3 linked regions of the Arabidopsis thaliana genome follow. The protein of the gene in region 1 interacts with the protein of each later gene in a pairwise test. Each region holds a gene or a part of one and is shown in the gene's direction. Other genes may lie near its edges.

Region 1 (2,881 bases):
CCAATAGACTTCTCACCAAAGCCATATCTGTTATTTTTGTACGAAAAGGTTTTTGAAGCTTATTAAGATGGATGAAAAGATTCAAGTTATTGGATATATTGCTTGTTGTTGGTTGATGATAGAACGAATGTGTTTATGTGTGTATATATAGAAAGATCAATGAAGGAGTTAAAACCTCTTTGAAAAAATCATTGAAACTTGTGGTCTTGAAGCGTGGGACAGACTAGAACAGAGCTCACATGGTTCTGTCTTTACAATCTAGAAAAGAAGCATTAATGAAATTTGTCTTGATGACATAATTAATTGAGTTTGGGCCAATAAACGAAAAACTAACTCCATATGCACAAGGGACTGTTTCCTCAATGTTTTTAAGATAAGACATGCTATTGTCAATAAGAAGGCCCAGCAAGTTTCTTTCCTTCATGTTCTGTGATGATCATATTACCTCATGTCTGTGGTGCAATTTAATAAGAACTTAAAATTGGGACCTGAAGTAGCTCAACAATAGAACAACAAGTCTTTGTCTAGGGTTAAGTTGTTCTTTTTTGATATCCTCAAATAGGAGGACCACACATGACAGTTACAAGTAAAGGATTGAATATCTCCTTTCTTCTCTGCATTTATTATAAAAATATGGAGAAAACAGAATCATGTGAAACGTAACTCTGTTTGTGTATGTTCCATGTTGGTTTGAAGTCCATCAATCTATTTATACATCTAAAGATAGAACTAACTATTCAATCCGAAGCTTGAATCTGAGCATCTAGGTTTTTCTCTAAAGCTTCAAATTTAGATTTTCCAAACACAAGAAATGTTTTTGTTCAGAGGTCTTTTGGGTGCAAAGAAAATTATCAGATTTTCTATAGAGGCTACAAGCAAAAGGCCAGTTTCAGCATCAAGGGGGTTTCTTGCGGTGTACGTTGGCGAAGACCAGGTCTAAAAGAAAAGATATTTGGTGCCAGTCTTATATTTAAACCAGCCTTCATTTCAAGCTCTTCACCGTAATTCCAAGGAAGAGCTTGGATTCGATCATCCAATGGGTGGCTAGCTTAAAAATCCATTGTCCTGAAGATACCTTCATCGATCTGACTTCTCAGCTTCAATGAAGATGTTCCGCAAGAAGGAATAACTAACAGTAGTTAGTGAGAGATAGATTATTCAATGTAAATACTTCATCTTGCTGTCATAGATATAATGTGTAAATACATTCCTTATCACCAAGAGGATTTGCTTAAAATAATGAAGATTCTTGATCTTGACCTTAAGGCTAACATCATAGTGATTTTCTCACCGATGTTTACACTTAGGTACTTAAGTTGCTTCAAAGACAAGCAAGGCATGGAGGATCTCATTACTGTAATACTGTTGCAAGAAAACTAAAGGGGTATATATTTTGATGATGTTTTCTTTATTCTTTTACTTGATTTTCGTGTGTGGTTCTATTTGTGTATATCATAAAAAAGGAACAGCTTAAAGAGTGATGGAGACATGTTGTTCTGTTGTTGAGAAACTTCAGGTCCCCACTTTTAAGTTGTTATTAAATCCATTTAGACCACAGAGAATCAAAAATAGGATCATCACAGAACATGGAGAAGAGAAACTTGCTGGTCTTTTATCTAAAAACATTGAGAAAACAGTCCCTTGTGAATTGCATATGGATTTTGTTTTTAGTTTAATGTCCCACAATCAATTAATTATCTCATCAAGACAAACTGCATTAATGCATCTTTTCCAAATGGTAGAGACAGAACCATGTTCTCTGTTCTAGTCTGTCCAACACTTCAAGACCACAAGTTTCAATGATTTTTTCAGAGAGGTTTCAACTCATTAGTAGTTGATCTTTCTATATATACACTCATAAACCCATTCTTTCAATCATCAACAAACAACAAGCAATCCAATAACTTGAATCTTTTCATACATCTTCAGAAGATTTTAAAGAATTTAATATTCGAAACAAAAACAATAGATATGGCTTTTGTGAGAAGTCTATTGGGAGCAAAGAAGATTCTAAGCCGCTCCACCACAGCAGCCTCGGCGGCACCAAAAGGGTTTCTTGCAGTGTACGTAGGTGAGAGCCAAAAGAAGAGATATCTGGTGCCAATCTCATATTTAAACCAGCCTTCATTTCAAGCTCTTCTCAGTAAATCCGAGGAAGAGTTTGGATTCGATCATCCAATGGGTGGCTTAACGATCCCCTGTCCTGAAGATACATTCATCAATGTGACTTCTCGGTTCCAACGATGATGAGCCAACATTTTTCTTCCTAGTTAGAAATAGACTTATTCATTGTAAATACATGAGCTTTTTTCTCTTTCTTCTTGAAAGAGTTGTTCTAAAAGTTTAGAGAGTAAATGCCATCTTTATGCAACAGAAACGATTCATGTCAATACATTTTTGATCTTTCATTGAAAAATGAAAAGATAACACCAATGACCAAACCAATTGGAACTACTCTAATGATAGTTTCATGTTGATTAAGTACAATTAAGTGGAACATATAACATCCGGATCCGTGGCGCAATGGTAGCGCGTCTGACTCCAGATCAGAAGGTTGCGTGTTCGATTCACGTCGGGTTCAATTCCCCGAACTTTACTCCGGATATTCTTTTTAAAAAAATCCAGACTTTGCCCTTCGCTTTCATTCGATAAACTAAACACAACTGTTTAGGGTTTGAAGAAAGTAAAAGTGTGTTTGCGATCCGCCATGGATTCAAAGAAAGAGAAAACGGGAGGGATCATAGGAATCTTCTTAACCCAAAATGCTGCTTCCTTGGCACGAAGCTTCTACGCCATGTTGTGTATTTTGATCTGAAGAGAAACAGTATAAGAGAAACTAAGTTTAAAGGAATTGTAGGAAACTCAAGGGATTTGGATTTGG
Region 2 (3,946 bases), 5.3 Mb from region 1:
CCAAATTATGCGTCAAGTCACACCAATTGATGAGGTTGGCCTTATCGAACTAGTGGAACCGTCATATGCGAAACCAAATATAAGAAATGAATGAAAGACCTTTCAACAAAATTAATAAGCAAGTAGAAGTAAATCCAATATCAATATAACAATTGGTTAAACCTAAATTATATGCATCCAATACGAAAATTCTTTTTTTGGTATCTTTTAATCCGTTTATTATATTTGTGGAGCCTAAGTTGCGGATCCACTTGTATTCCTTATTTGAATCATTGTTATCATTTCTCATTGTTTGTGACTCGTGAGCTAGAAGAAACAAAAACAAAAGGATAACGTAATTTTGATATTTAAAGTAAACCACTATAAATCATTGTGTGTGTGTTTTTTCTTGTTTTAAAAGATCGAATTAGGGAGCCTAACATGTTTTTGTCTCAAGAGATTATTATCATTAAAAAAAACAAGTGGAAGTGGAAGTTGTGTAACCCACTTGTTGAATTCTTAACTTCGAAGCACAACAAAAAGATAGACGAAAAACGAAAACTCGATCTAACTTCGACATATGCATTAGATAACATATAGAAATTTAAACAATCTCGTTGATGAAATTGGTCTATCAACACACGACAGTGGTTCTCTCTACAGTAGCATCAAATCGGTGGATCCTTATGAACAGAAAAAACGAGGAGGGACAGAGGAAGGCCAATGAGGGGTCATGCAAAATGGAACTTAGCAAAAGTACCAAAAAGATCCATCCTCTTTGAAAATTCATTTCAGCCCCATAATTATCCATGACATGAATTTCGATCTGAATCTCACAACAAGTAAGAGATCAGCTTTTGATAACATTAAAGAAAAAGGTAAAAAAAAGAAAGACGAGAGACTGAGAAAAGGGCAAAGACCTGTAGGGGTTAAGACAGCTAAGAGTGTTCCTCAGTCGCCCCACAAATGTCTTCTCTCCTCTCTCTTCAGTCTTTCTCAGCTCTCAAATCTTTAAATGGTTCCAAGTTCAATGCTCCCAAAACCCACGCCCACACATGCATCCTATGACCTTTCCTTTTCTATCCATTTTCTTCCCACAAATTACCACTTTGCAAACAAAAGCCAAAAACTCATTTACAAGATGAGTTAATAAAGACACTAACACACAACCAATGTGAAAACAGACGTTTACATGAGATATTGTTACCTCTAAGAAGTCATTAATCATATAATGAGAACATTCTTGCTTCCTAAGTTTTTACAAGATTATTAACCTCTAAGAAAGGAGAGACACTTTTAACGCAATAATAACTACATGATGTTATAAATATAGGAGAGAGTAGAAAAGAATATGACAGCCCTACTAAGACAGAGAATCATCATCGAACAGTAAAGAGGAGAATCTCTGAATATCCACTTTAAACTACTGCCCTCTTGTCTTAACTCTCAGAACCATTTAATTTTTCAGTTATTTTGACCCATACCCTTTTTGGCCTCTTTCCCTGCTTTCCAACACCTTCACACTTACTCTAGGGCTTCCACGGCTATATATATATGGTCCCTTCCTTAAACTTGTATCTCATAATTCACAACCAGCACTGCTACTACTAGTTTATCATTATTCCATCAATTTATTCTATATAGAGTTCTTCTCTGTTTATATTACGATATTGCTCGAAGATTACATACCTGAGAAAGATGGTTAAACCCTGTTGGAGAATAGGTGCCGGTATGGAGAGAAGTAAGATCAATCCCACAAAGGTTGATGGTTTGACATGGTACAAAGATCTTGGTCTTCACACCTTTGGAGAGTTTTCCATGGCAATGATCCAAGCCAACAGTGTGATGGAGGATCAGTGCCAGATCGAATCAGGGCCGCTTACATTCAACAATCCGACAGTTCAAGGCACATTTGTTGGAGTTTACGATGGCCATGGAGGTCCAGAGGCTTCCAGATTCATTGCAGACAACATCTTCCCCAAGTTAAAGAGTAAGACACCGACTTTTTTTATTTCCTTTATTGTTGAATCTGCCAGGCACACTAACACTGGTCTCACATGAACAGAGTTTGCGTCCGAGGGTAGGGAGATTTCAGAGCAGGTGATCAGCAAAGCATTTGCCGAGACAGACAAAGATTTTCTCAAGACAGTGACGAAGCAATGGCCTACGAACCCACAGATGGCATCAGTGGGGTCATGTTGCTTGGCAGGAGTGATATGCAACGGATTGGTGTATATTGCAAACACGGGAGATTCCAGAGCTGTGTTGGGCAGATCTGAGAGAGGTGGAGTGAGAGCTGTTCAGTTATCTGTAGAGCACAATGCCAATCTTGAGTCTGCGAGGCAAGAGCTATGGTCATTGCATCCTAATGACCCCACCATTCTTGTGATGAAGCACCGCTTGTGGCGTGTGAAAGGCGTTATCCAGGTAAACATTCATACATGATAACGCATCTGATAACCTGCACAGAGTTTTGCTTCATCAGTTTCTATGAAATACAAAAGCTTAAGAAAATCATATATTGAAGCCTATCTTGTGTAAGGATGTAAAACTGACTAGCAAATGTGTTATGACCTTTAACCAGGTCACAAGATCCATAGGTGATGCATACCTCAAAAGAGCAGAGTTCAACAGAGAACCTTTGCTGCCCAAATTCAGACTACCAGAACATTTCACTAAGCCAATCCTTAGTGCGGATCCATCAGTCACCATTACGCGGCTTAGCCCACAAGATGAGTTTATAATTCTTGCTTCAGATGGGCTTTGGGAGCATCTTAGCAACCAGGAAGCTGTTGATATTGTGCATAATTCCCCTCGACAAGTAAGTTCAATGCCTAACCCATATACAAATACGTTACATACTAGCACAATGCACACCAAGAACTATTCGTTAATACTAATACCTTCACAATCACAGGGAATAGCAAGGAGACTACTTAAAGCTGCATTGAAGGAAGCAGCAAAGAAAAGAGAGATGAGATACTCAGACCTAACAGAGATCCATCCTGGTGTAAGAAGGCATTTCCACGACGATATAACCGTTATTGTGGTCTATCTCAACCCCCACCCGGTCAAAACCAATTCTTGGGCTTCACCTCTGTCAATTAGAGGGGGATACCCGATGCATTCAACATCATGAACAGATCTTACGGCAAAAACACTTCCTGTGTCAAGGGCAATAAATTGGAGCCAGGGTCAAGAAAAGAACTAGTAGTATAGCTAGAAACAATATTAAGTTATGAGATCTTTGATATGTTCTCCACAAGAAAACATGAATTCTCATGTACCCCTGTATGCAAAATTATACACGAGGGTACTTGCATGCAATATCATCAATGTCAACGCTGGTAAAATTCGAAAGCGTTGCAACATATTGGAGTTTAGGCACAAAACAGTAGATAGCCAAGAAATGTGTTGAAACTTAACATTACATTCCCTTTATAAAAGTTTTCTGGCGCTTCATTCAAAATTAACAGAAAGCAAGTATCAACAAAAGTTTATCTAAAATCTATTACAGAAACAAAGAAACTGTGTAGCATCAGAAGCCAGCAAAAACGCAGTCCCACGAACAGAGAATTTAGAATCTGAGGCTCTCTTTCCTTCAACTGCCATAGAGACCAGAGATATGGAAACCAACAAGTACATCTATAGTTCTAATGATGTCTTACATGACAAAGAAATTCTGAAGTAGCGGCTTGAGAGGTCATATGAAATTAAGTAACCTAAGAACGACACATGTTTATGGGATCCATTTTGCATGCAATATTCGCAATCAAGCACAGAACACCAGTAGACCAGCTAAATTTCGTAACCAAGACTAAGAAAAACTAGCAAAATAGGCACAACTCAAAAGTAATCAACACTTCTAATTTCTAACTAGTTCAAAACAGTAAAAAAATGTCTCCCTTACTTAAATATTTGCTGCATGCAGTACAAATTTTCAATTGCTGGTGCTTGTGCTTGATAC
Region 3 (5,773 bases), on another chromosome or scaffold:
TGAAGAGTAGAATAGAGAGATACACATTAGCATATGTAATGTAATAGTTTAAGTGACATTTACATTTGATGTAAAACAGATTTATTTAATATATGGAACTTTGATTCAGAGTTTCTTTTGAAATTTGAGTTATATATATAGAGAGAGACTATTAATCAGCATACAAACAATATATAATTTTTAACAGAAACAATTAAAGATAAAAACTATATACACGTCGGTTTACAAATGACTCAAAAGAATAAGATTTACACGACAGAACTTAACCGATGTTAAGATTACTAAAACCGACGCAAACGTTTCGACGTATAAGTAAGCGTCATTTCCTAAAGTTAAGTTAATTATATTAACGTCATGCAATGTTACGACGGTTTTTAAACCGACGCTATTATGTTAAAGTCAGTTTGAAAATGACGTTAAAGTCAATAATGACCGACGTCAAATACCGTTTCTCTTGTAGCGATCATAATTTGGAAAGTGTTGATCATATAACAACATATACTTGGATATTTTTTTTAAAAAAAGTTAGTGTCAAAACAAACATGGATCATAATTTGGAAAGTGTTGACTTAAGATGTTACCTTTTTTTTTGTGCAAAAAGATGTTACCTATACAGTATAAATACTGAACAAGTTTGATTGAAATAGTTATCAACATATACTTGGATATTTTCCAGGATTAAAAAAAAAAAAAGTTTAGACGAATTATGGGTTCTCTTGAGACATGCTTACTTTTCTTTGTAATGGTTATGTTTATGAGTGCAATTATGTCTCGAGCCTCGACGAGTGTAGTGATTTATAATGATCTTGGAGGTGGTTTGCCACTACGGCACCACTGCAAATCAAGAGAGGATGATCTTGGATACCAGAGTTTAGCACCAGGTAGATCGTGGTCGTTTGGATTTACACCGGATATTTTTGGCCGGACTTTGTTTTACTGTCGTTTTAGTTGGGGAGCTGAGAGTCATATATTTGATATCTACAAACAGAGTAGAGACAAAGAATTTCAAGAGTTTGGTTGCAAAAAATGCGAATGGAAAATACGGAAAAATGGACCTTGCAAGTTTTATAAGAAGACCGGCATGTTTGATCATTGCTATTCTTGGGATTAATATCCTTATTTTATAAAACATGTCGTAACTATCAATCTATGTCTGTCTACTTCTTCTTCTACCTTTTTTTTTCTTTTTTGTATGAGGTAATTGTGTCTTAATATGATATTTTATGGTTTGACCTACAATTCGTTTTCTTTTTTTTTTACTTGTTAATGACACAATTATAGTCAAATAATTTTAGAGCGAAGTAACAAAACATTATAAGAATATAATGTGAACTACAATGAGCTTTTCTTTTATGCTTAACGTTCATTTTTTAACAAAAAAAAAGAATTATAAATAAATAGAGAACAAGTGTTGATCGAAAGAACAACTATGTAAATTATACATTTGTGCTTAACTAAACGCATATCGATTAGAGTCCCATTTCATGACCCCGAAACTCAATGAGTCAAACGTAGTGCACAATCTAGTGTAATTTAAAACCAGAAAAAAAAAAAAACTAGTATAATTCGACATAACCAAATGGCATAGTTAAACGCATGTTGGTGAATGGAGGAAACTAAACCCGCGTGGGAAGGCTTTTCTCGAGTAGTGGAAGTGAAATATTATCTTAAAACATATACTTTCAATGACATAAATTGGTGAAGATTTACTCCCATAAGTGAAATGCATTACATCTAGAAACTTATCTCTTTTATATTTATTTCCGATTTAGCAAAAGAAGTAAGTAGAAAGTCTATTGAGTCAAACCCAAATTTTAAAAAAAATAATGCAAAGAACTTGCATATAAATATTTTACATTATAATTTGTATTAAATTTTGATTTAGTAAACATATATAACAAAATTTTCATCTTTCTTTTAATAATATAGTTTTTAGTTTGTTAGATTTTTTTTTTTTAATTTGGGCAACACAACAGTTGTGTAATAGTATAGGCAAAGAAAATGGTCGGACAGCTAAGGGAAGATCGCTCTCTCCTCATCAGACAAAAAATTACAAGCGAGAATTTCTTTGTTCCTTTACGACCGGACAAGACACGTCCGTCATCGTCTTCTACTACTTTCTATCTTACGCCTCTCCCCTTATCCTACGCCAAAACATCTTATCCTGCGCATCATCCCTTCCATTAAGACCTAGGGTTTTCTCTCTCTCCCATCATTCTCTTCTCCCGATCTCATTTCCATTACCCAATCCCGCTCCTTTTCTCTGATTTTGAATCGAACCCTTAATACCCAGAAATCTCACGGTTCCGAGGAGTGGGTTTTTGGGGGTTAGGGTTTTCGAGAGATGTTGAATGTCAGGTTCATTGATGAATCTGTTTTCTCTCTGCTTCAAGCCATTCGGGCACGTCTGTGATAATTCCGAAGCTGGATCGGGTGGTGGTGGTGGCGTTTCTGGTGGAACCGGCGGTGAAGGCAAAGACGGATTGCTTTGGTTCCGTGATCTCGGTAAATATTGCGGCGGAGATTTCTCCATGGCTGTGATTCAAGCCAATCAGGTTCTTGAAGATCAGAGCCAGGTCGAATCCGGTAATTTTGGGACTTTTGTTGGTGTTTACGATGGTCATGGTGGTCCTGAAGCTGCTCGTTATGTCTGTGATCATCTCTTTAACCATTTTCGAGGTTCGTAATCCGATTCTTCATTGACACAGTGATTCGTCATTTTGACATTCGAGCTTGAGTGTTTTGAATTGGTTTTTTGGGGAAATACATATTTTAGATGAATCCGTTGACTTAATTCTGAACTTTTTGTTCAAATCTTGGTGATGAAGATGGTGATTGGTCAACAAAGTTAGGTACTTTGACTTTTTAATCTCGTTGGGGTATAATTAGGTTCCCATTAAGCTAAATGCAAGTTTAGAGCTACAGTCTTTGCATTTAAAAACTGTGTTTATTGACTTCAGAAATAGTAAAACTTTAGATATGAGTATGCTCTTTGATATATAGGAGTATTTGTAATGCAGTTTGATATATAGGAGGACTCTTTGCATTTCGCATTCCTGGTTCTTTGAGATTGTTCTTTGCCATTTAGATAAGGGTCCCTGGCTTTTGCATTGATGGTGGAGTGTCATGAATATTACCAGGCTTAAGCAAACTAGGAGTGCACTGTAATTATGAAAGGAGGTTGAGCCTCTCTTATGTTTTGATTGCTCAGGCTTTATGGTTATGCAGAAATATCAGCGGAAACACAAGGAGTTGTGACGAGAGAGACGATAGAAAGAGCCTTTCATGCGACAGAAGAAGGATTCGCTTCCATTGTGTCAGAGCTGTGGCAAGAAATACCAAATTTGGCAACTGTTGGCACTTGTTGTTTGGTTGGAGTGATATATCAAAATACTCTTTTTGTGGCAAGTCTTGGAGATTCACGGGTTGTTCTTGGAAAGAAAGGCAACTGTGGCGGACTCTCTGCTATTCAGCTGTCGACTGAACACAATGCTAACAATGAAGATATTCGTTGGGAACTCAAGGACTTACATCCTGATGACCCGCAGATCGTTGTGTTCAGGCATGGAGTTTGGAGAGTTAAGGGCATCATTCAGGTAGTTTCTCATTCTCCTGCCATCCCTTGTGATGTTAATTTTCCAAAAGAAAAATGTAAAATTAGTCACTTAGACATAACTAGGTTCCTTGTTGTGTTAACTCTCTTTGGTTTCGCAAACTTTGACATATCTACCTTATGCTTGTTTCGGAAGAGCTAAATCATTTTTCTTCTCTCTTTTTTAGTCTTTGAGCGGTTTGGCCTTTCTTATAAGCTATAGAAAAGTTCATTAGAGGTCTGAGAAGTACAAATCTTTAAAAAGTTTTGAGAATTAGCAAGTAATGAGGTAGTGCATAAGCAGAATTAGCAAGTAATGGGTTTCTGATGAACTCCATACATATGTACTGAACAAGCTAAATATATGTCTTACGCTCTTTGTGATGTCTAGTTACCAATAATTAATCATCTCTACCATGCAGCTCTTAAGACTTTCTGATGATTCCCTGTATTTACTGTTCAACTTTGATTCGCTGTTTATATAGGTATCGAGGTCTATAGGAGACATGTACATGAAACGGCCCGAATTTAACAAGGAGCCAATCAGTCAAAAGTTCAGAATTGCAGAGCCAATGAAAAGACCCTTGATGTCTGCAACACCAACAATACTCTCTCATCCTCTGCACCCTAATGATTCGTTTCTCATTTTTGCATCTGATGGTCTTTGGGAGCATTTGACTAACGAAAAAGCAGTTGAGATTGTTCATAACCATCCCCGTGCTGTAAGTTTCTACTTTGATTTCTCTCTTAGATGGCGTTTTTGGTCTAGATAAGTTTTAGATTGCAGTTTTAAGCGAGTCAAGTCACAAGAATCCTCATTATTACAAATTCGTTAAATATATAAATGATTTCTTGCATTGTGTGTTTCTCTCTATGTTCAGGGAAGCGCAAAGAGACTGATAAAGGCGGCTCTTCACGAGGCAGCGAGGAAACGTGAGATGAGATATTCAGATCTAAGGAAGATTGACAAGAAAGTGAGACGACATTTTCATGATGACATCACGGTTATAGTGGTGTTCTTGAACCATGACCTCATATCGAGAGGCCACATCAACTCAACCCAAGACACAACAGTCTCTATACGGAGTGCTCTTGAACACTGAGAATCCCAAACATTTTACAACAATGTTTCTTCTTACTTGATTATATGACTTTTGCCTAGAATGAATAAAAAAAAGGCAACATATGGAAAAAACCAAAAATGAAAAAAACAACATCATTATCGTACGTAATGAGTTCTCTCTTGTATTAAGCGGCTATGTTTGACTTTTGGTGTTTCTCTTCAAAGTTCTGATGAGTTCCAAGTCTTTTACTTCTTGCCGTTCGTCAAAAGTATGTAATGTAACATAGCCGTGTAACCATACTATTCTCGAATGTAACATCAAGTCTCTAATCAAAATTGTTTTGGTAACTTATAATTATTCTTCATTCCCGAACAGTGGTTATTCTTCAACATTTCTAGGTTTAACTTTATTGATCAAAAAAGATTTTAAGATGCTCTTGGATTACTGTTTCGATATTTATGTGCCACAGTTGTCAACTCTTCATACTATCTCAAATTTGCGGTTTCGGTGAAATACTTAATTTTCGTACGGATTTGATTTGGAGAACAAAGTCGTGGAGCAACGTTTGGCTTCAACATTTTACTTATGCAAGACTTAAATGTTAGTTCTGATTAAATGGATTCATGGACCTTTTCTAAAAAATATCAAATACAATTCCATAAATCTATAAAGTTCTTGTTAATACTAAAACCTTTGAGAGTACTAATGAAAGAAAAATCAGATTAAGCTTTCTAGGCTGCATTATGCATCAAAAAGAAGTTGAATGTCAATCAACAACTCAGAGCCCAGTGCATATTCATCATCTTTTCCTTCTTAGACCCTCAACAATTATTCTAGCCAGATAAAAAAATTGAAACAGATACAAAAAATTATAAGGATCCTCAGAGTAAAAATGCTTATAGCTTTTCATCAATAAAAAATCAGGTCTCAAAGATTTCATGCCATCATAGGATCCTTCAATAAGCTTTTTTAAAAAAGAAACGATAACTGATTAGGATATAGCACGAGCTTATTCGCTATGCCTGGTTAAACATAGACGAAGCGACTCAACGCCCCTGCAATAATCTATCGCCTCACGAATAAAATCGATGAAAGAATCATCCCGTAGATATTGAAT

The links.
Region 2: the proteins of SAUR20 (region 1) and AT5G02760 interact in binary tests that used the Arabidopsis thaliana proteins (3 or more experiments, as listed by UniProt).
Region 3: the proteins of SAUR20 (region 1) and AT3G17090 interact in binary tests that used the Arabidopsis thaliana proteins (3 or more experiments, as listed by UniProt).

Annotation. Positions count from the first base shown.
Region 1 is NC_003076.8:5,965,671-5,968,551, reverse strand, and holds SAUR20 (SAUR-like auxin-responsive protein family), read left to right. Parts: upstream 1-1,874; 5' UTR 1,875-1,971; coding exon 1,972-2,247; 3' UTR 2,248-2,369; downstream 2,370-2,881. Other genes in the region: AT5G18030 (SAUR-like auxin-responsive protein family), read right to left, coding at 1-25. UniProt on the Arabidopsis thaliana protein: Functions as a positive effector of cell expansion through modulation of auxin transport.
Region 2 is NC_003076.8:623,700-627,645, forward strand, and holds AT5G02760 (Protein phosphatase 2C family protein), read left to right. Parts: upstream 1-1,554; 5' UTR 1,555-1,677; coding exon 1,678-1,969; intron 1,970-2,044; coding exon 2,045-2,406; intron 2,407-2,563; coding exon 2,564-2,800; intron 2,801-2,896; coding exon 2,897-3,118; 3' UTR 3,119-3,425; downstream 3,426-3,946. UniProt on the Arabidopsis thaliana protein: Dephosphorylates and represses plasma membrane H(+)-ATPases (PM H(+)-ATPases, e.g. AHA1 and AHA2), thus influencing negatively plant growth and fitness. Promotes the apical hook maintenance of etiolated seedlings.
Region 3 is NC_003074.8:5,824,633-5,830,405, forward strand, and holds AT3G17090 (Protein phosphatase 2C family protein), read left to right. Parts: upstream 1-1,953; 5' UTR 1,954-2,351; coding exon 2,352-2,679; intron 2,680-3,228; coding exon 3,229-3,596; intron 3,597-4,077; coding exon 4,078-4,314; coding exon of another isoform or gene 4,315-4,318; intron 4,319-4,473; coding exon 4,474-4,695; 3' UTR 4,696-5,268; downstream 5,269-5,773. Other genes in the region: AT3G17080 (Plant self-incompatibility protein S1 family), read left to right, coding at 707-1,111. UniProt on the Arabidopsis thaliana protein: Dephosphorylates and represses plasma membrane H(+)-ATPases (PM H(+)-ATPases, e.g. AHA1 and AHA2), thus influencing negatively plant growth and fitness. Promotes the apical hook maintenance of etiolated seedlings.